2 linked regions of the Oryctolagus cuniculus genome follow. The protein of the gene in region 1 interacts with the protein of each later gene in a biochemical or structural test. Links are inferred from orthologs where the notes say so. Each region holds a gene or a part of one and is shown on either strand. Other genes may lie near its edges. The genes, in order: PRKACA and CREB1.

Region 1 (15,664 bases):
TCCCCAGGCCCAGGCTATCGTGGACTTTTGGGGAGGGAACCCGCGGACGGGAGCGCTGTGGCTCTCGCACGTCCTTGGTGGCCATCGCACAAGCGGGGGTGACCAGGACGAGGGATGACGGTGCCTCTTCCCGCCGCAGCTCCAGCGGAACATCCTCACTTCCAACCCCCGAGTCACCCGCTTCCACATCAACTGGGACAGCCACACGGACAGACTGGAGGCCGCGGAGAGCCAGGACCCTGCCCTGGGCTGCGGCCTCCCCTTCAGCTGCACCCCTGTGAAGGGCATGGGGCTCCCGGGCTGCATCCCTGCCCTGCTTCCCGAGAACTCCATGGACTGCATCTAAGTGGGGGAGCCCGGCGCTGGCCGGCCCCACCTGGGACCCGGCACCGGCACCGGCACCGTGGATCACCTCGCTCTGCAGGCCCCGAGCGGCAGCAGGGACTCCCGCCTGCACGTGCCTGCTCGCGCCGTGCCTGCCCAAGGCCGTCACCCCGGCCTCCTGCTGTCCCTTGTCCCCTTTCTGTTGTCTCCTGGGTGCTGCCAGGCGGGAGATGGCGGGGTGTGGGGGCGCCCAGCCACATGAGGGCCCTTCCGCCCCGGGCTGCCTGCACCTGGCTCTCACGGGCCACAGGGACTTGGGGCCAAAGGAGCACTGGAGACCCCAGAGAGCGCCCCTCCCCCCTCTGCTGCTGTGCCTGCTGCCGTGTGTATTTAAGGGGGTTTATATTAAAGATGTTCGCTGGTTTGCAAATAAAAAGCACTTGGTGGAGACTTCACCCCCTGCTCTTGTCCTCGCTGGCCCTGTGTCCCTGCGGGGCTGCAGGTGGGGCCCCACCTGATGCCAGGAGAGGGAGAGGTGTCAGGGCGCCAGTCAGCCCCCCAAGCTGGTCCGCTGGGAGAACTCAGTATGATCCCGGCGCACACACAGAAACACTCAGAAGCTGTCCTCAGCCTTACTGGATGACCCCACAGCCAGAGGGGGTGGCTCGAGCGGCCGGCCACGTCCCCAGGGTTCGCAGGAGAGCGGGGACCTCGCCACGCGGAGCAGCAGGTGGGCGCGCAGCCCTTCCCGGCCGGGGTCTTCCTCTGTCCACCTTCGTCCAGGACAGTCTAGCCACTCTGATGCTGGTGTGGATGGCCACGGCTAGCAGCAGGAAGCAGAGCAGCTGGGGGCTTCCGGGGAGGGGGACTGCGGAACACACCCTCCGGCCCAGCCCCAGATGTCAGATGCTGGGGCGGGGGCGCCGCCCCTCGGTCCTCAGGCCGCTCCTGGCAGACAGGTGCCCGCTCCCCGCACAGACAGGACAGTCAGCGCCGGTGCCCCCAGACTCCGCGTCCGTACCAGGGGCGTGATCGCGGGACCTACGAGGTGAGGGGCGCGCTGCGAAGCAGTGTCTGTGCCAGCTCCTCACCGCGGGTGCCAGCCCACGGCCGGGCCCACGGCCGGGACCCAGTAAAGGCGCAGCAACCCCCTGCTCCCGGGCCCAGCATCCGCGGGAAACCCAAGCAGAGCCCCGGTCCCGACCCCTGCCGCCCCAAACGCCAGGCCTTATGAATGACGACTCGGCGACCTCTGACCCCGCGGCGCTGGCCGCGCCCCTCCCCCCGCTGGCAGGTGGACAGCGGCTGCGCCGGGCGGGCCGTGGCGTCCACCTCGGCTGGCCGGCGGCCGCTGCCGCACTGGGCGGGGGCGGGGGACTGCGGCGCGCGCGGGGCCGGGCGGGCGCCGGCCGGGGCCGCCTCCAGGGCCTCGGAGCGCGGCGCGGCCGCCCGCCAGCCTCCGCCGCCCCGCCCGGCCCGGGCCGGCCGCAGACTGCGCCTCCGCCCCGCCCTCTCACCCCGGGATTGACACTGAACGTTCTGCGAAGGGTCTGCCGAACAGGGCGCCTCGACCAATCGGCGGCCTCGTGGGGCCGGCCCCAGGCGCCTCGGCCAATCGGGCGCGTCCTCCCGCCCAGCTGCGGCCTTGCGAGCGCGTGAGTGGCGGGCCGATGGCCGCGCGCGTCACGGGGCCAGGAGCCTATGGTGGTGCGGAAAGGTTTCTCGGGGCCAATGAGCGGCGGCGCGGCGCCGTCAGTCATGGCGGCTTAGGCCAATGAGCGGCAGGCTGCGGGGGCGTCACGGACAGCAGCAGCGGACTTGGGCTGAGGTTCCCGGGCGGGCGGGCGCGGAGAGACGCGGGAAGCAGGGGCTGGGCGGGGGTCGCGGCGCCGCAGCAAGCGCAGCCAGCCCGAGGGGCCGCCGCCGCCGCCGCCCAGCGCGCTCCGGGGCCCCTGGTCGCCGCCAGCACCCGCAGCACCGCAGCTCCGGGACCGGCCCGGGCCGCCGCAGCCGCCGCCGCGATGGGCAACGCCGCCGCCGCCAAGAAGGGCAGCGAGCAAGAGAGTGGTGAGTGCCCAGGCCGTGACCCCGATCTCGGCCCCGCGCTGCCAGCCCCCCGGGCTGTCCATCACCGCCTGGCCCCTCCCCCCCGCGGCGCCCCCCCATCTCTCTCTGCTTACCCCCAGCACCCCTTGCTGTCTGCTTGTCCAAGGCTGGGGCCCGAGGGCCCGCAGAGGACCCCCCACAACCCACACACACACACACACACACGCATTCACGTAGGGGCCCTTTGGCCAGTGACCGCCCCCCACTGCGAAGATATGCCCCCCCACCCACCCAGCTGTCACTGCCAACCATGGCACGGATGACCGCTGGGGCCCCACATGGGGCCCTGTCACCTCCCCACCCCTTCCTTTCCTGGCCCCAGTCCCCAGATTCGAATCCCCTCCACTTGCTCACTCACCTCTCCCACGTGTGGGACCCAGGCCTCTCCCAGCCTCCCAGTGCTGTCGGGGGTAGGGGGGGCTCTGCCTCCAGCCGCCAGGGACCTTGGCCTCTTGCTGGCCACACCCCTCCCCCCTCCCGCCCCGGCCATCTTTCTCCTGCCCTTAACCCTCTTCACCTTATCACAGCCCCTCCCCAGCCACCACCTGCAACTTCCAAACCCACCCCACCCTGTGTTGTTTTCCCTGTTCAGTGTCCCTAGGCTTGGGGGACACAGGGGTCCCTCTGCGCCTCTCTCATCCTGCCACTGTTCTTGGGACCCCTCCTGCAAGCTGGCTCGCTGGCGACCTGGCTGGGGGAGTGGACTGTCTGCAAGTTTGAGCTGAGATTCCACTGCCGCTCTGTCTTTTCGGTTGTTGGGGTCGGGGGCGGCGCGTGGTAGAGCCCCTCCCCTCTCTTGCTGTGTGTTGAGCCCTGGGCTCCTTGGAAGGCCCCCCCCACCACTGAGGCTCCCCACCTCCCCCAACGAGGGGGGCTCCTTTGCCTGCTTCTGGCTTCCGATAAAAAGCATCCGGGTTCCATGCGGCTGCTTGGTCTCGGTGGCGTGGGTCAGGGACAGGATTTGGACGGGGTGGGCGGCTGTCCGAGAGAGCAGTGGGTGACATCGAGGGATTCGCTTTGCCAAAGGATGGATTCTCATCGTTGCCGGGGCTTTAGCCAGAGAGAGAGAGAAGCCCATTACACACACACACACACCTCGCCCGGGCCCCCAGATTAAGTTGGCCCCTTCCAGTCTGACAGAGAAGGTGCCTCTGTCTGGAAATGCCTTCAGAAGTGGTCTGGAGCCCCCTGCCCAATCCCGCACCCCCAGCTCCCGAATCTGGGGCACTCCAGGCTCAGAGTGGAACCTCAGCCGGGATATCCCACACATAGGCAGAACTACAAATGCGGAGGCCGCGTCCCCAGCCCTGCCCACCCCAGTTCTTGATCTCAAGCCCTGGGCTTCCCAGGGTCCCCTGCAAGTGGCGAACGTAGCCCTGAGAACTTTCTCCCCTCCCTGCTTCAGTTGGCAGAATTAAGTAGCTCCTGGACGTGCCACCGAGGGGCGGGGGACAGGGAGGCCAGCGCCTGTGGCTGAGCGCTTGATGACCCAGGAGCAGGTGGGGTAGTATCCAAAAACAGTTCCGAGCCCACGCTCGGAGGGGACTGGGGCCCGGAGGAGAGGGGCCGGCCCCCAGCAGGTGAGGCGGAAGGTGGAGGCACGCGGCTATATATTGCTGTGGCTCGGTGGAAAGCTCGGGAGATGACATAGCCCTGGAAAACCTTCAAGGCGTAGCTAACACGTGCACTAGGGCCCCAGGGAGAGGGGCGGGGGAAGCTGCACGGGGCCAGGGTTGGGTGGGTGGGTGGGGAGATCCCAAGAAAAAAAGTTCACAGTTCTGGAAGGAACAGGTAATTCCTTCTGAGTGCAGAAATGGATGATCCCAGAGCTGCTGTTTGTAGGGGATCCAGAATGTCCCCCTGCCAAGTAGGTCTCCGTGGACACATCTGTCTGCGCTGGTGATTTCTGTAAGGGGCTCTTATCGGCGCTCTCCAAGTAAGCTGTCTCTGAGTGGGACACAGGCGGAGGCAGGATTCCGATCCAGACCCGTCCCTGGCCGCCGGGAGCTGGGAGCTGAGAGCCTCCCAGCTCGGACATTCTTGAAGCTGCCTCTCGGGCTCCTGCTCTCTCTCGGCCTGTGTTTTCTTAATTAAAGTAATGGAGGTTGAATTCCCCATGTCCGTTCAGGGGGGAGCAGTCCTAGGAATGCAACCCAGCGCTAGGCTGCGCCCCTCTGTCATCGCTGGTCCGCATTAAGATGCAGGGTGGATACAACGTAACTAGCTAAGGGACTGGGAACTCGATCCTTGCTCTGCTGATGGGAAGGTGCCCTCCTGAGGCTGGGAGAGAAGGAGCCAGGCTGGGAAAAGGAAGCCCCTCTCTGCCTCACAGCCCTTGAAAGGATGGAGTCCGAGGGCAATTACCCTCTTAGACCAGGGTGGGCCGGGGGCCAGGGCAGTAGCCAGCCCAGCCTGCAGGGGGCACCTGCATTTCATGTTGCCAGATCCCAGCCTGCGGGGGACTGGCCAAGCATCCTAAAGCCCAGGAGCTGGGGTGGGGTGGAGATGGGAAGATTGGCACCCAAAGGTGGCAAAGCCACCGACAAGGGGCTTAGTGGGGGTTGGCGAGGAGCTAAAAGAGCAAAGGGAAAAAAAATGAAGGCTCATGGCCAGGCTGGAGGAACCGAGAGAGGGCAGTGGCCCCAGGGGGCCCCAGGGGGCAGACAGCCAAGTGGAGCTCAGGTCTGAGCTGGCACTGGCTGGAGACACCCCCACCCCCACCCCGGGGAGCCGGGTCACAGGGACATGGCCCGAGTGGTGGGAGGGAGCCCCCCAGAGGCCCCTTGGTGGGGACACCAAGCCCCAGAGACAAGCCCACCCAGGTGCGTCCTGCAGGTTCCTGGGTGGGATGAACTGGTGTCTTCCGACTTCCTACAGAAGCCCAAGAGGGTCAAACGCCTCTGCCCATTGGCAGTTGTATGGGTGCCCGAGAGGGTCCTGCCAAGACAGCTTTGCTCTTAGCCCAAGGCAGCCAGCAGCAGCTTGGGAGGTCCCAGCCAGCTCTCCCCTGCACCTGCCCTCCTCTCACCGGCCTTCCCGTCCCCATTCCCGCCCCCCAACTCCCCGGCTCCCCCTGCAGGCCGGGCCGTGGGGTGGGCCGCCAGGCTGGGGCGGCGAGGTCTCGTGAGCCTTCCCAGCCACCGTAGCTCGGATGCCCTGTGAGGAAGACTGAGTGATGGCTTCCAACTCCAGTGATGGTGAGGCTGAGCCCTGTTGCTATAGCAACTCCCTGGGCACTCTCTGCCCCTCAAGTCAGGGAGGGGGCTGCAGCAGGGTTTGGGGGCGCAGGAAGGGAGGAGGAGGCTGTGGGGGGCCTGGGGACGAGGAAGACAGATAGGGGGGAGCCGGGGGTGTGCGCCCAGCGATGGGAGGGGAGTGCAGCCCAGTGTGGGGGATCCAGGCCAGGCCAGAGTACTGGCCCCCGCCCAGGCTGGGCAGTTCCACCCCAGGACCGCCAGGTTTCAGAGTGCCTAGAGGGTCTCGGGTTATTGTCCGGGAATGGGGAGTCCAGGGAGCCCCCCCCAGCCCCTTGCCCAGCTGGACACACAACCCTTGCAACCCTACATCCGCAGGATGGAGTTCTAGATTTCGGCCGTGGCTTTGTCAGGGGTCCTCTGGGGTTGTCCCTGGGACCCCAAATCAAAACCCGGCGGGATTGGGACGTCTGGTGCCATGGCCCTCTAGGAGCTAGGTGACAGAGTGGGGGAAGCGGGGGGACTTCCTGTCACCAGCAGGGTGCCCCCACCAACTCCGGGTGTTGGGTGCTCTGGGAGAGGCTGCCGCTGCCCCTCCTTCCGCTTCTCTCCGGGATCTGGGAAGAAGGAGGGAGATGGCCAAGCGGCCTCCCCCTCCCCCGCTCCCCCGGGTTGAGCCGTCCGTTTCCGGTTTGGACTTTTCATGGCCCAGAGCGGAGCCAAGCACACAGGGCAAGGTTTGACAGAGGCCAAGGGCATGCAGGATGTCGATCCCCTCCCCGCCCCCACATGGGAGCGGGACAGGGAGCCACACGCACCCGTTTCTGTCTCAGGGGTGGCAGGATTGGGTGGGGGAGCCCCGGGGTGTCTGGTCTCCCTGGCCCTCCACGCCCTCCCTACCCCCTCCCCGCCCAGCCTTTCCCTCCAGCTGTTCTTCCAGCTAATTAACAGGGCGCTCCTCAGCCCCCTGGGGCCCTCTGGCTGCTGCCTGGGCCTTAACTCCTTCACCTCTGCGCAGTGGGCACTGCCCCAGGCCCCGGGGGGACGGGGAGGGGGCAGCCAGGCACCCAGTGAGGAAGGCAGGGCCTGACAGCCAGAGTCAAGTCCCTGGAAGGGGAAGTTGGCCTTGGCGCCCCGCCCCCGGGCAGAGGGACACCCCCGGGAGTCCGCGCCTCCGCCTCCTGCCAGGGAAAGCCTCTGTGGACCCTGGCAGCCAGGAGCAGGTGCAGGCACCTTTTTAACTGCTTCCGTGGCAACCGGCTCCTCCTCCCTTCCCCCCTACCCCCCGGGGGGCTGGGCGGCTCCTGTGCTGGGTGAGGAGAGAGCCCAGGCCAGCGGGATGCTGGGATGGAGCCGGGGTCCTGCCGGAGCCAGGGTGCGGACTCGGAGACCACTTTCCAGCTGTGGCTCCAGCTGCTCCTCTGGGCCCACCTGGCCGCCCGGCTCCTGAGCTACCTGCGCCACACCTTCCAGCGAGCCTGACCTGAGCCCCCCAGCCCAGACCACCCAACCCCACCCACTCCCCCGGTTCTCCCCTCTGCTGGAAGACACAAGAAGCAGAGGTGAGTGGTGGGGGTGGGGTGGGGGCGGGGTCTGCAGGCTGAGGTCCCCTCCCCCAGTACCGCCCTTAGCTGCCTGCCCCCAGCCCCAGCAGAGGGGACGTGACCTGGGCTCCTCGTGCACCTTGGGAGGCCAGCGGAGGGCTGTGCTAGGGACTCTGCCCCACCCGGGGAGGGGGCTCAGTGGGCGCCAATGAAGAAGGAAACAGGACCAGGCCCCCCGCTGCCTTCCTGTGTGGGTCAGGGCCCCGCCCCTCCCCCCGCCACCCAATCCAGAGTTCTGTGGGAGGAAAGGTGCCTGTGTGGGTGGGTGTGTGTGCACATGTGGGAGCAAACCGTCTCCAGTAGACCCCATGCCCAGAGCGGTCTCTCGGCCAGCTGGTGGCCCAGCCAGGCGCCAGCTTGGGACGGCTGTCCCCTCTGGGCCCAGCTCTGCCAGCAGCCTTGGGGACAGTGGGGGCGTGGTGCCAGTGACGGGCAGGAGCACGGTGGGGCAGGGGGTGGGGGCCGTGTGTGCTCCGCGTGGCTGTTTTCATCGAAGCATCTGGGGCCTGGGGACAGTTCTGTCCTGGTCCACCCCAGTGCACGTGACCAGCGGTGAAGCCGATGGCCGGGACGGCAGTAAAAACGGCTCACGTCATAGCAGTGGGGGAGGGCTTGCAGGCAAATGATCAGTCTTCCGATCTGTACAATGGCTGGGATGGAGCCTGCCGGGCTGGGGCTGACGCTTAGAAAACACCACGTGCAGGGCGGGCTTGGCGCCTGTAGGGTGTTGTTCGGGGGTGCGTGTGTCTTGTCCATGTTCATCCAACTGCCTGGTTAAGCTCTGGACACCTACCGCCGAGTCTGCTGTCTCAACCGAAAAGAATGCTGCAAAAAAATTAATAGGGAACATTTGTGTCCCACGCCAGCCACCGTCCAACCCCCCTTTGCCAAAGTGAGCTCCTGCCATCCACACAGCTTCGCTGCCTGTATGGTTAGGTCGCTGTCATTATCATCCCCATTGTATAGATGAGGAAAACTGAGGCCCCCTCCCCCAACAGAGGCGCGGTCAGTTGTGCCCAGTGCGTCAGAGAGCACGGGCTGGGATTTGAACTCCCGGAATCCTGGCCCTCAGCTGATTGGCTGGGCTGTCTCTTCGCATGGGCCAGAAAAAAAAAAAATGGTTTTGGAGCCTCAGTTTCGGGGCTGGTGAATGGGTAGCACGGCCAAGAGGAAGGTGGTGAGCCAGACTGGTGAGAGCCCACCACCTCCCCCAGCCCCCAGCCCGGGGTCAGCCAGGGAAGTCTCTGTCAACTGGAAGGTGACATTGGCCTTGAGATGCCCTGGGGCCCGTGGAGGGATAGGCCCCAGCCAAGGCTGTCCTCAAACCAGCTCCAGAGCGGACAGGGCCAGCTGGGGGCCAGGGCGACAGCTGAGCCCCCCCAAGGCCGCCTGCTACCCGAGCCCCGGAGGCCTCCGCCCCAGGCCCAGCCTCCCCAGAGAAGGGAACGGCCAGATCCCGACGCTATAAATACCACAGCTGGCGTCGGCCCTGGGCGAGGAATGCCGGGCAGAACTGGGGCGAGTGGGGGTGGGCGGGCCTGGGTGCCCCGGGCCGCGACCCCCACCCCTCGCGAGCCTCCCTGTACCCCACCTTGGCGGGCGCCGAAGCCAGATCCCCCACCCTTGACCAAGACCCCAGCCCGGATCAAGCCGCCCGAGCCAAGCCAGCAGCACCCAGAGGCACCCGGCAAAGGGCGGGCGATGCGTGGAGGCAGCCGCACCCTGCTCCCCGCCAGTGGGCGTGTCCCCGGGCAAGACGTGGGGGGCCGTGGGTCTCCCGTCTGACCCTCCATCCTCTCTCTTCCTTTCAGTCAAAGAGTTCTTAGCCAAAGCCAAAGAAGATTTTCTTAAAAAATGGGAAAATCCTGCTCAGGTAAGCCCACCTCCACCCCTCGCCCCCAAACCCCGCTGTGGGGGGAGGCAGGGACCCAAGCTGCCTCCCCCTCCCCCTCTGCTCCCCCTACTGCCTGGACACCCCCCGGGGGGCTCCCGGGAGGGGGCTGAGGCACCTGACTGTCCACGCCTGGCCTCCCCACGCGGCCCCTGCCCTCCCCACACAGCTGCCACCAGTTCCTGGGCCCCAGGCCAGGGCCGGATCTGGGCCCGGCCGGCCGCCTGGAGGAACTCGCCCTCCATCCTCCGCCCCCCGCCCTGCCCGGGGTGGGTGCCCCTGACCAGCCCGCAACCCCCTGCCGCCCCCAGAATACAGCGCAGTTGGATCAGTTTGAGCGCATCAAGACCCTCGGCACGGGCTCCTTCGGGCGGGTGATGCTTGTCAAGCACAAAGAGACCGGCAACCACTATGCCATGAAGATCCTCGACAAACAGAAGGTGATGCAGCCACGGGCCCCGCCCCGCCCAAATGTTCCAGAAAGTTCTGGAAAGTTCCACGAGGAAACAAAACCACTTGAGTACCACGCTGGGCCCCCAGAGCATGCCGGGAGGGTGATGGGTGTTGGATGCTGCGGCATCCCCAGGACGGGGTGGGCGGGTGCACTGTGCCAATGTGGCACCTTGTACCGAAGGGACACGGGCAGCTGGGCATTTGGGGGCCCACAGGCCAAGCCCATGGGAATATCATGGGGCAACTCGGTACCCTGAGCCCCCAGACCCCAGCGCTGGAAGGGCCCTGAGTGGCCTCCACAAGGCTTCTGCCCACAGGCCACACCCAGATGGGAAACGAAGGCACTCGATGGCCCGTGGGGAGGAACCCGGAGGTCTCCCTGGAGGAAGTGGCGTCTAGGTGGACGTTCTGTCCCCAAATTTGTTATTGAGTGATTTATTTGAGAGGCAGAGAGCAGGGAGGGAGAACTCCTGTACTCTGGTTCGCTACACACACACCCCCATACACCCCCAAACACCCAAAAAAGTCTCGGTGGCCAGGGCCGAAGCTGAGAGCCCAGAGCTCCATGCAGATCTCCGACATCAGGCGGCAGGGACCCAAGGACTTGAGCCAGCGCCGCCGTTCCCTGGGTGCACATTAGCAGTCGGGAGCAGAGCCGGGACTGGAACCCAGGCCCTCCAGCGTGGAATACGGGTGTTCCACCCAGCGGCCCCGCTGCTAGGCCAAATGCTCGCCCGAGGTCAGTGTCTACCAGGAACGGGCCCCAAGCCCCAGAAGGGAGTGCGAATTTCCCAGTAGCCCCATCAGAAACACCAAGAGGAGCCGGTGTCGTGGCGCATAGTGGGTGAAGCCGCCACCGGGTAGGATGCTGGTGTCCCGTGGGAGTGCCGAGTCCCGGCTGCAGTGCCCCTGGGAAGGCAGCGGGAGACGGCCCCAGGGCCTGGACCTGTGCCACCCAAGTTCCTGGCTTCCCCTGGCCCAGCCCTGGCCGCTGTGGTCATTCGGAGACTGAACCGGTGGATGGGAAGATCTCTCTCCCTGTCTCTTGTCTCGTTATATATTGCTCTTTAAAAGAAAGAAAAGAAAAAGAAAAGATAGATTTTTTTGAGAGAGAGGGACCAGCGCTGTAGCATAGTGTAGTGGATACAGCCGCTGCCTGCAGTGCCAGCCTCCCATATGGGCGCTGGTTCAAGTCCCGGCTGCTCCACTTCCCATCCAGCTCTCTGCTGTGGCCTGGGAAAGCAGTGGAAGATGGCCCAAGTCCTTGGGCCCCTGCACCCGTGTGGGAGACCTGGAAGAAGCTCCTGGCTCCTGGCTTCAGCCTGACCCAGCTTCGGCCGTTGTGGCCATTTAGGGAGTGAACCAGCAAATGGGAGACTTTTCTGTCAGTCTGTCTCTTCTGTGTAATTCTGCTTTTCAAATAGAATAAACGTTACCCAAAAAAGTACAAGGAAACAGATGAAGTTCATCTCAATGTGTTTTCCTTAAGCCAGAGGCAGCCTCTTTTTTTCCCTTCAGATTAATTATTTGAAAGGTAGAGTGACAAGAGAATCTTCCATCCACTGGTTCACTCCCCAAATGGCGGCAACACCTGGGGTTGTGCCAGGCCAAAGCCAGGAGCCAGGAGCTCCATCCGGGTCTCCCACGTGGGTGCGGGGGCCCAAGATCTTGGGCCATCTTCTACTGCTTTCCCAGGCCACAGCAGAGAGCTGGATCAGAAGAGGAGCAGCCGGGACTGGAACCGGCACCCATATGGGATGCTGGCACTGCAGGCGGTGGCTTTACCCACTAGGCCACAGCGCCGGGCCCATGTTCCATTCTTTTTTTTTCTCTCTGTACAATTTCAGTGTCTGTTTCCACTTCAGACAGTTTTCCCCGGGAAGAGGAAACACAGTAGAGAAATAGAACAAGCACATTCACATGGCCAAGTTTTTCCAAACACTGAGAGCTTAGCCAGTCCCCACAGCAAGTGTCAGCGTTCAGATCTATCTTTCTTTCTTTCTTTCTTTCTCTCTCTCTCTCTCTCTCTCTCTCTCTCTCTTTCTTTCTTTCTTTCTTTCTTTTTTTAAGATTTAATGGGGCTGCCATTTTGGCACAGCAGGTAAAGCCGCCACCTGTGACACCAGCATCCCATAGGGCCGCTGGTTCAAGTCCCCGCTGCTGCTCTTCCAATCCAGCTCTCTGCTGTGGCCTGGGACAGCAGTGGAGGATGGCCCAAGTGTTTGGGCCCCTGCACCCACGTAGGAGACCTGGAAGAAGCTCCTGGCTCCTGGCTTTGGCCTGGCACAACCCCAGGCGTTGCTGCCATTTGAGGAATGAACCAGCGGATGGAGGTCTTTGTCTTTCCCTGTCTCTATAGCTCTGCCTGTTAAATAAATGGATTTTTGAAAAAGAAATTTTATTTGAAAGCTAGAGTGTCAGAGATAGGGAGATCGCTCATTCCCCAAATGGCTGCAATGGCCCGGGCTGGGCCAGGCCAATCGCCAGGAGCCAGGAACCCCCATCTGGGTCTCCCACATGGGTGCAGGGGCCCAAGCCCTTGGCCCATCTTCCACTGCTTTCCCAGGCGCATTAGCAGAGAGCTGGATCGGAAGTGGAGCAGCCAGGACTCGAACCGATGCCCATATGGGATGCTGGCCCCAATACTGACAATTTTAAATTCGGTTCGCCAGCCCACTGGCCACACATCCAGGGCCCTCACAGTGCAGGCCTCAAGGGTCCAGCTGCCTGAGTCGAGGCAGGAAACACCCCGGCTGGGTGCTTCACAGCTAACCGGGGACCTAGGCCACCTGTGTGGGGCGCACTGGCCTGGCGCTAGCCGGCTGTGTGACCTTGGGCACGTCCCCTCCCCTCTGTGCCTGCACTTCCAGACCGGCGTGCTCCCAGCATGCCCCTCTCAGGGCTCCTGTCACCACTGAACCAGAGAGCCCGGGTGAGGCTCCGGCTCTGGCTCCTGGCCCGCGCTGTGCGGGGAGAGCCTGAGGCCTGGGCACTGTGTGTCGCTGGGCTAGATAAGGGGAAGGCAGCGTCTCCTCCTTTCTCTCTTTTTAAATCTTTGCTTGAAAAGCAGAGAAAGAGCTCCTGTGCCCACCATGGCCCCGCCTTCGGGCTGGAAGCCAGGAGCTGGGAGCCAGGAGCTCCATCCAGGTCTCCCACGTGGGCGGCAGGGGCCCAAGCACGTGGGCCATCTTCCACGGCTTTCCCAGGGAGCTGGATCAGAAATGGAGCACCTGGGACTTGAACCGGTGCCCCAACTTGGGATGCAGCCCTCCAGGGGCGGCCGCTTAGCTCACTGTGCCACAGGGCCTGCCTCTGCTTGCCTTTTATTTTTCTTTGCAGCTCAGCTGCCCCTTCCTCCAGGAAGCCACCTCTGATTGCGCCTCTCCCCACACTACACCACGGTGCCTTATTTGGGTTTGCACCAGCCCCAAGCCTCCCCCTGTCCCAGCATTGACCTCTCTGGGCTGAGAGTCCTGGTGTCTCATCTTGCTGTGTGTGTGTTGAGCCAGGACAGGCTTGTGAGCCCAGCCCAGGGACCCTCAGCTGCAGGGGTCTGGGGGACCCGTGGCAGGGATGGGGTGGCCCTCCCACCGGCTCCCTGACCCTGACCCTGACCCTGACCTTGACCCCGCTCCCGGCCCGCAGGTGGTGAAGCTGAAACAGATCGAGCACACCCTGAACGAAAAACGCATTCTGCAAGCAGTTAACTTCCCGTTCCTCGTCAAACTCGAGTTCTCCTTCAAGGTGAGGTCCTGGGGCCAGGGCCGGGGCCGGGGCCGGGGCCGGGGCCGGGGCTGGGCCTGGGGCCGGGACTGGGACTGAGGCCGGGGCCGGGGCCGGGACTGGGGCTGGGCCTGTGGCTGGGGCCGGGGCCGGGGCTGGGCCTGGGGCTGGGGCTGGGGCTGGGGCTGAGGCCTGGGTCGAGGCCGGGGCCGGGGCCGGGGCTTGGGCTGGAGCACAGGCTGGGGCCGGGGCCGGGGCCAGAGGCTGGGCCTGGGGCTGAGGCGTGCTTAGCCCCACGGCAGCCTGTTTCCCACTCCCATCCATCCCGGGCCAGGCAAGCCAGGGCTGGCATCTCTCCCCTCCCAGCCTCCATCTTCTCTCCTGTAACCCGGGAGTGGTTAGGGTCATGGCGACAGGTTCCGGCACATTCCCTGCGAATGCCCTTTCTCCTGACCTGTCTTAGGTGCAACTTTGTCCAAGGCCCTGCCGCAAGAGCCGGGAGGGCCTCTTCCAGGCCAGCTTCACGGGGCGTTCGACCCAGGCAGGCGGTCACAAGGACCTGTGGTCATGGGGGGGAGGGGGGCTCTGCCATCACCATCTTGAAATTCATCTTTTTTTTTTTTTTTTAATCCTGGTTGCATTTTGCTGGGGGGCCCTGGTAACCTTCCTCTGTCTCTAAGACGCAAAGCCAATGGTAGAGCCCTCCCTCTGCCCAGGAGGGGCACGCTGGCCAGGGCCCCCTGCCCGCTCCCCCGGGGGGCACCTGTCAGGGCAGGCGGCACCTGCACCAGGGAGCCAGACAACTCAAACTTGGCCTCTCACAGGACAACTCAAACTTGTACATGGTTATGGAGTACGTACCCGGCGGGGAGATGTTCTCACACCTGCGGCGGATTGGGAGGTTCAGGTAAGCCGGGCCCCGCCCCCTGCCTCGGCCCCGCCCCCGGGGGATGGGATCCATAGGCTGCCTGCCTGTCCATCCCAGCGGTGGGCAGCCTGCTGGGGCCTGGAGCTGGCCGCTGTGGGCTTTGTCTTCTCTCCGTTCTGGCATCTGACTCCTGACCCAACTCGGGGCGGCTGAGGGGTGAAGCTTCACGCTGGCCGGCTCCATCCGGGAGCTCCATCCGGGTCTCCCACGTGGGTGGCAGGGGCCCTGAATTCCTGAGCCGTTGGCACCTGCTGCCTCCCAGGGTGCGCACACGCAGGGACCAAGCGTCTGACCCAGGCGTCTTTAGCGGCCAGGCCGGATGCTCGCCCCGTCCCCCGCCCTGCCCAATGCGCCTGGGAAGCATCCGCTCACGACTCCAGTGCCCGGGCCCCTGCCACCCACGCGGGATGCGGCTCCTGGCTCCTGGCTTCTGCCCAGCCCCAGCTCTGGCTGCTGCAGCCACTTGGGGGAGTGAACCAGTGGATGGGAACTCTGTCTCTCTCTCTCTCTCTCTCTCTGTCTCTCTACCTTTCAAATACATAGATAGATAGCAGACATAAAGGGACCCGTGATTGGGCTTGGTCTGGGTTGGACTTGCCTCTCCCTCTGCTCCAAGTTCGGTCTCAGAGTGTGTTTGAATCTAGCCAGGTCACGGAGTGCATTTGTAGTGTGTCCTGTAGGGGGCAAGATAGCGCCCATCGGACGTACCCCGATCTGTGGCTCTCCTGCTGGGCCGTGCAGGTGCGGGGGCCCAATCACTTGGGCCATCTTGGGCTGCCTTCCCAAGTGCATTAGCAGGGAGCTGGATCGGAGGCGGAGCAGCTGGGACTTGAACCAGTGCCCATATGGGATGCCGGCATCACAGGTGGTAGCTTAACCCACTGAGCCACACCACCTGCCTCTGTTTTCTGTTTTTTTTTTTAAGATTTATTTATTTGAAGACAGAGTTATAGAGAGGCAGAGAGAGAGGTCTTCCATCTGCTGGTTCAATTGGCCGCAACAGCCGGAGCTGCCACCAAAGCCAGGAGCCAGGAGCTTCTTCCGGGTTTCCCATGTGGGTGCAGGGGCCCAAGCACTTGGGTCATCTTCCACTGCTGTCCCAGACAGAGAGCTGGATCGGAAGTGGAACAGCTGGGACTCGAACCAGTGCCCTTATGGGACGCTGGTGTTGCAGGTGGCAGCTTTATTCGCTATGCCACAGTGCCGGCCCCATGTTTTCTGTTTTTTTTTTTTTTAATTTATTATTATTTTTTTGAGGCCAGCACTGTGGCATGTGGGCACCAGCTCGAGTCTCATCTGCTGGTTTTGCTCCTAGAAATGTTCCCAGCACCCAGGGCTGGCCCAGGAGCCAGGAACTTTCCCTCCAGGTCTCCCACGTGGGTGGGCAGGGACCCAAGCCCTTGAGCCAGCCCCCTGCTGCCTCCCAGGGTGTGTGCAGAAC
Region 2 (15,222 bases), on another chromosome or scaffold:
GTTATATAAAAGTAGTAAGCAGCAGAGTTTATAAAAGGCAGAAAAAATTTTTATTTATTTATTATAATTTTTTAAAAAAATTTTACAGATAGAGTTAAGACAGTGAGAGAGAGAGAGAGAGAGAGAGAGAGAGAGAGAGAGAGAGAAAGGAGCTACGCCGATCCGAAGCCAGGAGCCAGGTGCTTCCTCCTGGTCTCCCATGCGGGTGCAGGGGCCAAAGCACTTGGGCCATCCTCCACTGCCTTCCCGGGCCACAGCAGAGAGCTGGACTAGAAGAGGAGCAACCAGGACTAGAACCTGGAGCCCATATGGGATGCCGGCGCCGCAGGCGGAGGATTAACCAAGTGAGCCACAGCGCCAGCCCCAGAAAAAATTTTATCTAACAATGTTGAGAGTAACAAGTGCCCTTAAAATGTGCATGATAAACTTTAACTTATTTGAGTGAATTAACTCAAGATTAAGAAAAGTAATTTATATGGTAGAGGCTAGAACAGCTAAATGGTCATCTGACATCTTTTCATCCAGTCACCTAGGGTTTCCTGCATATCTTTGATTCTGTTAAATTCTGTACCTGTAGGAAGGCCTCCTTGAAAGAATTTCCCTTCGTTTTTGGGAATCAGTTACACTATCCACTGACTCCTGTGAATCTTCACTTTCTGCAATAGTTGAAATCTGAAAATAAAGAAGAACTTTATCTTGATAATCAAATTTAATTCCAATAAAATTTAATGAATTTTAAGAAAAAGTCATATACAAAAGTACATACATAAACCTTAACACAACTAAGTAGAGGGGGAAAAAAATCAGTTTTTGCATGTGTTTATAGTCACACCAATTTTTTCTCCCTCTTGTTAAATACACTATAGACTATTTAAGAGGAAGTCAGATAAATTAAACATTTGCAGCTTAAATGAATGACTCCACGTAATAAATCCTAAATGCATCAGTATTACTTCTGACATGTGGGAATAGTGGGCACACCAATATTTTCCTTTAACTACCATGTAAAAACTTATGAATGTATTAACATTTGTCCAAATAAGATCAGTAATCCTTCAATACATTCCAGATAGTTATTTTATCAAGTTAGGAAACAGTCATCTGTTACATATATAGGTATTTCAAAGCTGGCATTCTACAATTACTTTTAAGAAAAAATTGAGGGTAAAGAACTCTGCATTCCTAAGAGGTGCTCCCAGGCTGAAAAATAATGAGGTGAATAAAGATTTTGCATGGAATGTTAATACTAGAAACTAGAATTCATCACTAACTTACTATGTGCCAGGTGTTACATGCTAAAGCACTTACATATATTTAACACTCATTAATACTTACAGTAACATAGGGGCCAGATGGGCATTCCTATTATATCCATTTTATATATAGAAAAACTAAGTAAGGCACCAGGGGATTAAGTAACTGTTACAAACCACAAAGCTAAGAAGTAATAGAGCCATGAACAATATTTAGCATTTCCATTTTACACATCCTTATCAGCTTCAAAATCCTGGTAGTTCCAGTCTCAAATACCAGTTTTGACAGAAGCAGGAACCAGATGGCATTTTAAGACCATTTCTGGACCAAGAAATTACTAACCTAAGTATGCTTGCCTGTCAAATTTATTCTGCCAGGTTCCTCTAGTCTAATCAGCAGGAGCCTCATGCTCTTTCCTGATGTAGGTACACACGATGCTGTCAGAGACTTAGATCTAATCAAGGCAAAAAGATCTCTCTGTGTTAGCTACACATGAAATGTATGGAAATAGCAGTAAGAAAAATCATATTTACAAGTAGCTGAGAAATCCCAAAGGTGTTCTTTACGTGGTATGAACCTAAAGGTTCTAGAAGAGTGGGCACTGATAGGGCTTTATGATATGCATGCTCATTTTAAAACAAAAATCCAGTAATGGTTCATAAAATATATCTAAAGTAATGTGCCCCATCCAAATTTAAGTATAAACAGTCTTATAAATCTAAAAACCAACAGGCAATATTTAATGAATCTAACAATAACAGATCAAATGGTGGGCAAGGCTGAATTTCATGCAGGATTCTTGGCAGAGTAACAATGTAGTTATGGTCAAAGGAGCAGACAGAAAATTTTCCTGTTAAGCAATAGCTGCTTTAACTAGCCAATCCAACACAGTCTCTGAAAACCATGAACTATGACCACAAACTATGGGGCCAGTGCTGTGAGGCCTGAGAGGCCGTGATAACAGATCAAATAACTGGGTGTCTAACACCCATGTGGGAGACCTGGACTGAATTCCTGGTCCTTGTCATTGAGGGCATTTGGGGAGTGAACCAGCTGATGGGAGGAGCTTGATCTCTTCTGCCTCTCAAAGATAAAATAAATACAAAATTTTGTGAAGAATTATCAAGAGTTTACATCCCAATTATAACTATCACAGATTACCATCACATTCCAACGACAGAACCCTTTCTTCCTCATCTTCTCTAAGTTCTTAAGTTCTTTACATAGGTCTTTAGTTTCAGACATTTATAAGTAAGTCATAAAAGCTTTCAAGAAGCCAAAGTTACAACTTCTAAAGTTTTCTATCTGTATTTCTCAACTTTGGTTTGTTTAAAACCCACATCTTCTGATATATGGGGGAAAAAAACTCGGTTTTAATTATTTGGAATTTCAAAATAAACTACATAGTGATTAGAACTAAATCAAAGTAACAGTAATAATAGGTGATTTCTTTTTCTTAAGATTTATTTTTATTTATTTGAAAGCAAAGTTACAGAGAGAGAGGTCGAGAAGACAGAGACAGAGGTCTTCTATCTGCTGGTTCACTCCCCAAATGGCCCCAATGGCCATCTGAAGCCAGGAGCTTCTTCTAGGTGTCCTATGTGGGTGCAAGAGCCCAAAGACTTGGGCCATCCTCCACTGTTTTCCCAGGTGCATTAGCAGGGAGCTGGATTGGAAGTGGAGCAGCCAGGACTCAAATCAGTACCCATATGGGATGCCAGCACTGCAGGCCAGGGCTTTAACCCACTGTGTCACAGTGCCAGACCCTATTACATGTTTTCTAGAACTGTACAAGGTTCCCTAGAAACTTAAGTACTTTCTGGGTAGAGGGGAGCCATGGTTTAGGTTCAGTTTTTTACTCACTGGATCAAGAAGCTTAGTGAAAGTCTAAAACAGTGATCCTTTAAACTCTTTTGATCTGCAGATCTCTCCTTATAAATAAGAAAAACTTACCTAAGTATACACATCTTATTTGCAAACATTAAGAAGTGTGTTACTTATATTATAAAAGAATTCTTAAGATAAGTATAAATATTAAAAATTTCTAAGCTGCATAGATTAAATTTTCTAATAGACTGTGACTTAATATACTTTATTAAGTCATTTAATACTTTATATAACAGTGATTTAGAAATATGATTCTAAATTAAAATGTTATCTTTTTTTTTTTTTTTTTGACAGGAAGAGTGAACAGTGAGAGAGACAGAGAGAAAGGTCTTCCTTTTCCACTGGTTCACCCCCCAGTGGCCACTGCGGCCGGCGCGCTGTGGCTAGTGCACCGCGCTGATCCGCAGCCAGGAGCCAGGCGCTTCTCCTGGTCTCCCATGCGGGTGCAGGGTCCAAGGATTTGGGCCATCCTCCACAGCACTCCCGGGCCACAGCAGAGGGGCAGCCAGGACAGAATCTGGCGCTCCGACTGGGACTAGAACCTGGGGTGCCAGCACCGCAGGCAGAGGATTAGCCTATTGAGCCTCGGTGCCAGCCCAAAATGTAATCTTAACATCTGTTTGTTTCAAAAAAAAAGGAACTCATAACTCATGATATGTAGATAGCAAAGGTAAATGCATTAGGCTGTGCTTACCAAGCAAAATAACAATTTTTCATTTTAATTTACCACTTCTGACTAGCTCTCTCTAGTATATTTTCATCTCCTTGACTCCACATCATTAACTGCATTCTAATAGGAAGGTGTTAAATTTAACTTTTTTTTTTTTTTTTTATTTTTGACAGGCAGAGTGGACAGTGAGAGAGAGAGACAGAGAGAAAGGTCTTCCATTGCCGTTGGTTCACCCTCCAATGGCCGCCGCGGCCGGCGCGCTGCGGCCGGCGCACCGCGCTGATCCGATGGCAGGAGCCAGGAGCCAGGTGCTTTTCCTGGTCTCCCATGGGGTGCAGGGCCCAAGCACCTGGGCCATCCTCCACTGCACTCCCTGGCCACAGCAGAGGGCTGGCCTGGAAGAGGGGCAACCGGGACAGAATCCGGCGCCCCGACCGGGACTAGAACCCGGTGTGCCGGCGCCGCAAGGCGGAGGATTAGCCTAGTGAGCCGCGGCGCCGGCCAAATTTAACATTTTTAACAAACAAACTTAACATTTTACTAAAACTCTGGAAGACTTCTGAGCAGTTTAGAATCCTGTTTCTAGGGTCTTGAAAGTCAGTAGACTTGAGGGCTTTTACATTTTATTATCTATTTGAGAGGCAGAGAAATAGAAAGTGCCCATCTGCTGTTTTACTCCTCAAATGCCCATACAGTGAGGCTGAGGCAAGAAACCAGGAACACAATGCAGGTCTCTGATGTGGGTGGCAGAAATCCAATTAGTCAAGGCACACCACTGCCTTGGGTCTACAATGGCAGAAGGATGGAGTCAGGAAATGGAGCCAAGAATAGAACCGAGGACTCACATGCAGGATGTGGGCATCTTAATGGCTGGGCTAAATGCCAGCTCCTGAATTGAGTTTTTAGAGAAAACAAATTTACACTGTTTATGATTGAAAAAAAAAAAAAGGATCTCTTCAGAGCACAAGTTTCTTTCACAAAGCAGTTATTCTGTCAGTCATGGTAAAATGTCCCCCCCCCCCACCCCCAAGAAAGGGCTGTTCAAATGGTTTTCTTTTTTCAAAAGTACCTGTTAGGTAAAATATCCCTTGTGAGTCCTTGCTTGCCATTAGTAAAAGGAAAATTTTTGAACACTTGTCTTAAGAAAACTCAAATAACTCATCTTTTTGTTAGACAATTCTTAAAAACTTGCTATGTGATAATCACTGAACCTCTAATGTTGCACAAGATTTTTACTGTTGCTCCTATAATAAAATATTGTAAAATTCTATCAAAAATAGTACTTGCAATGACTCTCTTCCTTTCTTACTCTAGTCCAGCATAGTCTTCTTGCTATTCCTTGACATCCCAAGCATATTCACTTCCAAACCCTTGATTTTTTTATTATTATCTGCATGATTTAGGCTACTTCACTGTCCTCTGGTCTTTGCTCATCTCTGATCACCTTCCATAAAACACGCCCTTCCCTCCATAACATTCTCTATTTCTTTTCCCTGCTTTATTCTTCTAACACTTATCTTCGACTCATATATCTTTCCAGAGTTTCTTTTTTCACTCAAACATGATCTTCATTAGAATGAACGGTATTACCTGTTCGTTACTGTCTTTCACAACTACTAGAACAGTGACTGGCACTTAGCATACGATCACCAACATCTGTTGAAAGAATGGATGTAATAAAATCCATAAATCCTCTGTCCAGCACATTTAAACTGCACTATATGGAAATGTGGCCAAAACTAATGAATGAAAAGGGAAGAAGCCACTGTGAATTTCATTACATCATACAATTCACACTATTTCTGTGAGGATGCTCACAAATTATGTGAGATTTGATTCACATACATGTACTTACATACATAATGTATATGAAATCTCAATATAGCTAAATCTAATATTTTTAAATTAAAATATATAACAGAAGTCCTAATATCTTATTCTCTTATCAAGAGAAATGTACCTTGCATATTTTTGGAAACTTTGTTCTGGAAAACTAACATTCTCTCATCTAGAAGTTTGAGTGACCATCCCTGATATAAACTACTTCCTAGTTAACAGTAATCACTTTCAATCAGTTATAATGAACACAGAAGTTTAATAAATTCTCCTTGGTTTAGAAGCTTTAAAGAATAAAAAGAGGGGCTGTCACTGTGTTGCAGAAGGTTGAGCCATTGCTTGAGATACCAACATCCTATACAGGAGCACTTGTCCAAATCCTGGTTACTCTTGTCTCCAAAGTAGCTCCCTGCTCCTGTGCTTAAGAAAGCAGCAGATCATGGCCCATGGGCCCTTGCCAACCATGCAAGAGAACAGGACAGAATTCTGGGCATTTGCCTTGGTTGCAGCCATTTCAGGAATGACCCAGTGGATAGAAGATCTCTCCTTCTCTCTTAGTCTCTGCCTCTCCCTCTGTCATTCTGCCTTTCAAATAAATAAATCTTAAAAAAATAGTATATCTGTAAAATCCAGGCTTTAAGAAGCCCAACTTTTCTTTTGCAAGCACACACACTTTAAATTAAATAGTTCACTTTAATGGAAATATGTATTGTTGTAAAGATGAATCCATATTTCTAGAAAGTTAATGATTATATAATCCCTAGGTCCACATTAGGCTGCCCCTATAAAGATTAAAATAAAGAATACAATCAACAGTTAAATATCACATAATATAACCAAAAATTACAATCTTAGACTGGGTCTGGCGTGTAGGTTGCCTGACTAGTAAGCCTAATTCTTTCCATTATTATCTATAGGAGGATATGGGTGGGGAATTAGCATAGCACAATATGGAGAATTAGATAAGGTAGCATTCAATGAAATAAAAACTGAGAAAAAGAAATACTGCTCAGTCACTGTGATTCCACAGAAATATCAACTTCATAGTTCTTCACTTGGTCAACACTGTATCCTACTTGTTAAAAAATTCCAACCCCAATATCTTATGGAAATTCATACATGATTCAAGATTTCACATGAAAACATTATTTCTTTTTCCCACTTAAGCAAACCAAAAGCATAAGAACAGAATGAAATATAGGTGGTAACAGCTGCTCAATGATTCAATAGTATAAAATGATTGACAAAACCTAGTATTTTTTTTTTTTTTTTGACAGGCAGAGTGGACAGTGAGAGAGAGACAGAGAGAAAGGTCTTCCTTTTGCCGTTGGTTCACCCTCCAATGGCCACCGCGGCCAGCGCGCTGCGGCTGGCGCACCGCGCTGAGCCGATGGCAGGAGCCAGGAGCCAGGAGCTTTTTCCTGGTCTCCCATGGGGTGCAGGGCCCAAGCACTTGGACCATCCTCCACTGCACTCCCTGGCCACAGCAGAGAGCTGGCCTGGAAGAGGGGCAACCGGGACAGAATCCGGCGCCCTAACTGGGACTAGAACCCGGTGTGCCGGCGCCGCTAGGCGGAGGATTAGCCTAGTGAGCCGCGGCGCCGGCCAAAACCTAGTATGTTTTTGATGATATTAACAGGATGCTTCCAGGACAAAGTAGGCACTCCTGCCCCTCTATGAATATTAATCAGTTCTGGCTACCATATGCACAGAAAACAAAACTGCTCTCATCCAGAAGAAAACAACCAGGATGCTGAAGAGAAATCAAAACTACACCATGTAATAAATGGCTGAAGAAAAATATGAGTTTGTTAAGTTGAAGTTTTCTTTTTAAAAAAAGTTTATTGAAAGTAAAGAGAGAGCAAGAACGAGGGAGACAGAGAAGGAGAGACAGAGAGATCTATTTGCTGGTTCAGCAAATGCCTGCAATAGCCAGCCTTGGGACAGGCTGAAGCCAGAAGCTTGCAATTTCCATCTGGGTCTCTCATGGGAGGCAGGGACTCAAGTACTCAAGCTGTCTCTCACAGTGTGCTTTAGCAGGATGCTGGACTGGAAGTGGAGCAGCCAGGACTTGATACCAGGCACTCCAAAATGGATGCAAGTGTCCCAAGGGGCAGCTTTACCTGTTGTGCCAGATGACCACCCCTGGCAATTTCTTAAAAATATAGTTTCTGAGAGATGTGACTGAGGAAATCAGTCAACAGAAAAAGAATTAAGATTTGCCATTCAGTTCAACGCAAGGATAAAACTGCAAGCACTAGGCAAGTTGTATAAAGCTATATTCTTTCACGACTGAAAAGAGTATTTTGGCAATTTCATCCTTAATTATAGGTAGGTTACTCAGGATATAGAACTTCCTTTCTCTGAGAGTATTCAAGTAAAGTTGGGCTATCGTTTGGAAGACAGGAAAAATATTATATACAGAAATTTTTATTTCTAAGGGTCAGGTAGGCAACAAGTTTGGTCTAGACCTAGAAATGTCTACCATTAAACAAAACCTTCAAATTCCATTATTTATAGAGGAGGAAAAAAACAAAAATAATAATTTCTCACCTTCCTTTCTAATAATAGTTCTCTTCAAATCTACGACCTAGGACTCACCTGTGTTCCGGAGAAAAGTCTTTTTAAGTCCTTACAGGAAGACTGTGAAGTAAAAAATATGAAATGGGAGGCTGGGGTTATGGCCTACTTGAATGAATGTTCAAGTCTTTCTTTCAATAAGCTCAATCGCAAGATCTACACCGCTTCTTGGTTCCCTACAGTTAAGTAGTGCAGTCACCTTCAGTGGTCTACAGTGCCTTTACTAATCTTTGGAATCCAACCCAAAGGAACAATATCCTCAAAGAATAAGACATTCATAGTATAATCCCTGACCCTTAAGATAAACTTTCTGAACACATTATTTCAAAATTATATGCTCTCATGGTAAACCCTAAACACAGCCCATTTTATGAATGCTTATGTGATCCCTTCAAGTTCAAAAATCTCAGGTAAGGTTATTAAATTTTGATCAAGGTTTATTTTTCTCCAACTGCAGGTTCAGAAAATAATTACAAGTTATTACTTCTGTATTTCAATTTTCCCTGAGGCAATCAGCCTTATACAGTCTCCCAAATCTTCCACTTCATCTCATGTACTTTTTTTGCCAATTATTCTCCTTCTATGACTTAATTTTCTTTCATGTCTGTTTTATACATATCCATTCCTTTACACAAGGTGACTATACAGACGCAGCCCATTTGTTTACCATATGAAGTAAAATTAACTCCAAACTAGATGTGTCCTTATTTTCAAAAGTAATGAAAGGAGAGGGATATGCCTATGAATAATAGACACAAAAGTGGATACAGAACTTTTTATACACATACCTGAACTGTTTGGACTTGTGGAGACTGAATAACTGATGGCTGGGCCGCCTGAATAACTCCATGGACTTGAACTGTCTGCCCATTGGGCAGTTGTACTAATGTTACAGTGGGAGCAGATGATGTTGCATGAGCTGCTGGCATAGATACCTATAATGTTGAACATGGAAAAAAATTACTATCACAGATACCTCCTTGGGACTACTCATGTTCAATATGAAGTAACATTTTAGAGGCAAAAATACTGATAGGAAATAAACTAAACATGCAATTTATCATTGTTTAAAAACAAAACCTGTAAGTCTCCCATTCTACTTTTCAACTCCTCCCAAATGACAAAAAAGTTATTGTAATGTAATGTAATGTAATATAATGTAATGTCAAAACATGTAACACAGATTTCCTCTTAATACTAAGCACCGGTTTATTTGTATAGTGCTTTAGATTTTCCCAACTGCTTTAATATCCCCATTTCTCTTGTTGTTCATCAAAGAAATTGAAGACTGGGTAATAAGGATTATCCCCATTTTAAAGACAAAAAATAACTGCTCAAAGAGATTAAGTAATGTACCCAAAGTCAAGCAGATACACTAGCCTTGAAGAAACAGTCTGTGGTATATGTGTTAAATAGCTATGTTCTAAATTCTAATTGTTTTCAAGCTTGGACAAATTAATGTAAAGTAAGTCCAGAACAAATATACATCTTACAATATGGCATAGCTTTCATTAGTGAGAACATAGTAACAAGTTTTATAAACTGTAAATCTCTATTCCTCTCCTCCTCAAAATCAACTATTACTGAACTGGTAATAGTTGATAGTTCAAGAATTTGTTTTTGTCTTGAATAAAGGGGCAAAGTTGAAAGAATATTCATATAAGAAAAAATAATTTTCTCCTGAGGCACAAGGAAGGCAATTTAATGAGTCAATATCCAATCTGAAGTGACCCTTAAGTCTTAAGTATCTATTAGATGGTATTTATTGTTCCTATGATTGAACACATTCGGGCGAGGAATTTTACCTGTTCATTCAGTATACAGTTACTGGGGATCTACATGTCAGGAACAATGTTCAATCTCAAACTATAAAAAAAGGATAAGATATGGGTCCTTGATCTCAAGGAAATGATTAGGGGTTGTGTGTGAAAGAATGGGAGAAACAGAAGTAAACACAATCAAGTGAAATAATGAGGTTTACAAGAGGAACATAGACACATTGAAGAGAGCTACCCAAACTAAGGACAGGAGGCTACTAGGCAAGAATGTGAATTTGAAACAAAGAACACAAGTCAGACATATTATTATGACTTCTAGGAGAGAGTCAGAACTTCAGGTAGAGAAGGTAACACTAACCAAAGCAAAGAGAAACAGCAGGAGCTATACATGACAGAGAAGAATAACCAGCAATTCAGTACTACTGGAGCACTTAAGTATGGTTACTATTTAATGTAGGAAGGAGGGAGAGAGAAAACAAGAGGCAGGAAGAGGCTGGATGAACTAGTTGTAAACAAACAAACGAAAACAACCCTGTAAATCACATTAAGGAATCTGCATTTTGGGGTTATTCAGAAAGTCACTGAAGGGCTTTTGAATTCCTCTCATTATGTTTGCATTTTAGATCACTTTAGTGGCAGAGTGAAATAACTAGAGGTTGGAAGGCTAAGCAGTCGTTAGGGTGAGTTGATAGGAACCAGAAATAAGGTGGTGGTGGTGGTAGTAACAGTCCTCGGCATTGTAGCAGGGAAGGGAATAAGAGAAGCAGAAGTAATTTTATGAAAATTTGCAGGCAGATCAAGAGGGGTTTTATGAATGGAGATGAAAGAGCAATCAAAGATGACTCATATGTTTTATGTTTCTAAGAAAATTGGTAGACTGTGTCATCAACTGAAACAGAGAATGTAAGGACAAGATTTTGGGTGGCTGGAGTTGTGGTAGAAGATGATGAAACTGACCTGACATCTGGGTATGCAGATGGTTAGCAGGAACTTAAAACATGTGACTCTGAATCTTGGAGGAAGATCCCTACTGTAGATACAGTCTTTGGCACATAAGTTGTTGAACCATGGAGTTTTCATCTTTGGACAATTAGGATGTCCTCATTAATTACTTTTTTTTCAGCTACTTTAAGTCTTGCTTAGTTTTAAGCTGGTTCTCAAAATGTGATCCATGGACTACCTGTATTAGAGTCACATGGGGTGCCTTGTTTGTAATATTAGATGATAAGAAGGACCCAAGGATACTTTCCTTGAGACTAAAATTTGAGAACCACAACCTTAAAGTTATTCAAGGAAAGGGTGAGGGAGGAAAATATGAGTATATATAAAAAAGCTTTTCTAATATTTGAAGCAATTATTATGTCCTCTTTTCTGAGTCTTCTCTAAGGTAAAAATAATAGGCTAACTAGGTAAATAATCCCTTTTCTAGGCTGATCATTCAACATAAAGGTTCTTCTTGGTGTAAGTTTATAACATACATTTACCCAAAAATAAAATAAAAATCCATTGTATTCCTACCATCCAGAGTTAATCACGTTAATGTTTTTGCTCTGGCTCTTGTAGGTGTTTTGTTTTTTAAGACACTTACACACAATCAATTTTTACAACACATTATCATTAAATCTATTTTATTTCTCAATTCCATTATATCTTTCCATACTATAAACAGTCTTCTTTAATATTTTAATGGCTACATAATAGGCAAAATTACATATTTCATAAATTCCTTATCATTGGATATTTAGGTTTCTAAATTTGCCTGTTACAAGAACACTACAACAAACATTCTTTAACCCAACTTTTTGCTTAAAACTGTAAAAACTTATATTCCTGTAGTCAAATCCAAAATTTTTCAATTTTAAAAACTTTCCTTAAATTCCAAAGCTAAAATAAGGTATCTCTCATTACTGTTTTAGATTGACCCTCTTCCTTTACCATTTAGGCTGAATTTGCTTTTTATCGAAGCACAATGATCTTAGGGTTATCTGACAACTTCATTCTACTTTCCAAGTACAAAAAAGTAGTAAGAATTATAAAAGGTAATTATGTCAAAAATAGATGTATGTGTTAAGGAACTTTGATGAGCAAATGAAAAAAAAAAAAACCCATTAACTGGGAATAAAAGGAATTAAAAACATATAAATGGAAACAGACACTAGCTTCCCTAAAACTCAAATCTGATACTGTCACTCCATTTTTAAGTGTTGGTGCTAAAGGGCTGCCTGATAAAGATGATAAACTGAACTTGTGTACACAGAATTTTTCTCCCACCTGAATTGCCAGTTAACTTCCTGAAATTGATTTCACTTTTATAGACATAAAAACACAAACACAGAATGGGAAGGAGATAAAGTAATAGTTTTGGAGGAGGACAGATGAATGGTAATGAACTGGGAAGACCTCAGAAGGCCAATTTATGAGCTGGGATGGAGGCAGAGAAAGCCTGATTTGTACCACAAAATCCTCAAGAAGTTCACAATCTATAGCACTTCAAGCAAAGAGAGGCCGACAATAAAGATGGCTTGTTGAAGGCTCTCTGAGAAGCAACTGGATGCCCTCCCCAAGGAGAATAATACCCAGCCATGAAAGAAAAAACCAGAAATTTATTATCTGGACAGCGGTCTCCAATTGATTAACAATAGCAGAAATCCCAGCCCCCTTCTTTTACTTGGCTCCCAAGCCTGTATCCTATAAGCACAAAATTTCTGACACCTTCTCTGGGGGTAACCGACACCAATAGTAAAAACCTAAAGGATACTGACATCAGGATCACCACAATCACCCTACAGCAAAGCTCATACTGCTAACTCTTCAACACCCACAGAGCTTCCATACAGCTTTCTGGTCCCATACTCTTGAACCTGACCTGAGCAAAACAGCCACAAATGATGAAACATTTGAGGAAAGCATCTAATATGAAAGATGGAGACCAAAACAAAGGGTGGGAAAATCTATGTGGGGAAAAGAAAACTTAAAATGAAACAAAATAATATTCTCAGAGATAGAAAATATTGCCTTTGTGATGCTAATGAAACATTATGCTAATGAAACATAAAAGAATTATTCAGAGAACAAGAGACTCCTGGAAATAGAACATCAGAAATTAAGTATTCAACATTGGAATGCATTGAGGAAATCTCTCAGAAAGCAGAGTAACAAGATGGAAAACAGGAGAAAAAAGGAAAGAAAATTAAGAGAAACAGTCCTAGAAATATAGTATCTGGATGACAAAAATTCTAGGGAGAAATGAGAAAGAAGAGAGGGAAAATTTTAATCAAATAATTGACAGAAATTGTCCAAAATTGAAGACATGAGTTTCCACTATAAAACGGCCCACATGGACCAAAATGTTTGCAAACTAAAACCCATAATAAAATTTTGAAGTACCTTGAACAGATTTTGTAAGATAACTAAAGATACAAAATGAAAAATTAATTTAGCTTTTCAAATAAGAACAAAAAATCGTCGTCACTGGACTTCTTTAAAAATTAAAAAAATATTTTTTTTAACAAGAATTCTTTTCATAGTCAAACCTTTAAGAAACGACTGAAAAATACGCTTTGAATATATCAAGAACACTAACTCCACCAGAGAGACAGCAGGGTAAAAGGAGTTCCCAGGCTGACACTACACAGACAGCCAGACCAGACAGACCAGCATGATCCAAGACAGGTATATCTGGACTGTCACCACCAAGATGCCTGCTGGTAGTGTATTTTCTTTGTTGAGCCCTCTGTTACCAAGTTTCATTATTGATTAGTAACTCTCTTGGGAGTCTTTAAATGCTTGTGGAAATGGAAGTTAGACACAGAGCTTCTGCTAGGATTATCTTCTCCTGGGAGCCTTCAACTAAAAGAGGCAATATCATACTTTTACCTAAAAGGTTGAAGTTTGCTATTTCATTTTTATACTATCACCTTTCTCACTGAAATATATGAAAATAGTTAATATTTGAGGAAAAATATATGAACAAAAAAGAGAGAGTGTATGTTATTAAAACAGGGTGTTAAGGCCAAAGACAAAATGAAAGAATCAGGAATTAGATTTAAAATATACAGGACACAAAAATTATCATCATTAAGATTTATTATATATCAATGTATTTGCTTATCCTATTTTTTCAGTTTAAGAATATAAGCTTTCATATTATCTTTATCTCTGTGCCCCAAAATAAATCTATATGATATTACAAAAAAAAGCAGTTGTCATAGCCAAGGTTTTATTTCCTTATTTATGAGAGCCAATTAACTTAGCCATTAATTAAAGATGTCATTCTTTCAGGATCATGGAACTATAAATACTGTATTAGTGTTTAACACCACATTTTACTGTTATGTTACTGAATTAATACTAGTATTTCTAAACATAGACTAATGCTAAGTAAATAAGAATTTTGATATTCTAAGAACACCTCTGCTCATTCTATGTATATCTCTGTAATAAGAACTAAATTCTCTTGGAAGAGACGACTTGGAATCTCTCTATGTATTTTATACCTGGGCTAATGTGGCAATCTGTGGCTGGGCTTGAACTGTCATTTGTTGGTTTTCAGCTTCTGTTACAGCTGCATCTCCACTCTGCTGGTTCTCTGCTCCAGATTCCATGGTCATTTAGTTACCTACAATAATACGGAAGAGTGTTACGAGCACTACAGTGCTTTGTGCTTTTGTGACTTTAAAGGCAAACTTCAGGTTACAAATACGTATATATGGTAGTTACGTTGGCGAATGCACTTAGAAATCTAGTTAAAATATATTGTAGCTAAATTACTGTCAAACTTGTCCAAAATGACTGAGCTGCAAGAGTTGTAGTCCCTTTAAAAAACGAATAAAACCTTTCTTTTCCCTTGGCTGGTAATTCCCAATAGGATATTGCCGCATCTGGAAAAAATAAGAATGGATTCCTCTCTTCCATGAATCTCCCCTTCTAACAGGGAGAGAAGGTGTGGCAGAAAAATTGTCTCTTCCAACGGTAGCAATCAAGTACAGAGAAAAGGCAGAGAAAAGAAATGAACTGATGGTAAGAGTCTATGAGAAGCTGGCTTCATGGTACCATCTCTAAAGGTATTTCCTACTCTAAGAAGAAGCAGAGAAATTGTAAACTAATTCCACAGATGAGTGGTGGTAGGTCAAAATTAACACAAGTTTTAGAGTCTAAGTTGTGGGATATCAAGGTAGGAAAGTGAATAAATGGGCCAGAGTCAAATTTCAGGCACCG

The links.
Region 2: the proteins of PRKACA (region 1) and CREB1 form a complex in vitro, tested with the Homo sapiens proteins (2 studies listed by BioGRID, with this or other methods). The link is inferred for Oryctolagus cuniculus from reciprocal best matches to the Homo sapiens genes PRKACA and CREB1.

The regions. Positions count from the first base shown.
Region 1 is NC_091447.1:62,974,206-62,989,869, reverse strand, and holds the start of PRKACA (cAMP-dependent protein kinase catalytic subunit alpha), read left to right. Parts: upstream 1-5,464; 5' UTR 5,465-5,605; coding exon 5,606-5,627; intron 5,628-9,039; coding exon 9,040-9,101; intron 9,102-9,430; coding exon 9,431-9,559; intron 9,560-13,217; coding exon 13,218-13,316; intron 13,317-14,119; coding exon 14,120-14,202; intron 14,203-15,664. Other genes in the region: histone chaperone ASF1B, read left to right, coding at 140-346.
Region 2 is NC_091434.1:32,227,646-32,242,867, forward strand, and holds part of CREB1 (cyclic AMP-responsive element-binding protein 1), read right to left. Parts: intron 14,624-15,222; 5' UTR 14,616-14,623; coding exon 14,502-14,615; intron 9,163-14,501; coding exon 9,016-9,162; intron 8,291-9,015; coding exon 8,249-8,290; intron 5,468-8,248; exon of another isoform or gene 5,402-5,467; intron 673-5,401; coding exon 572-672; intron 1-571.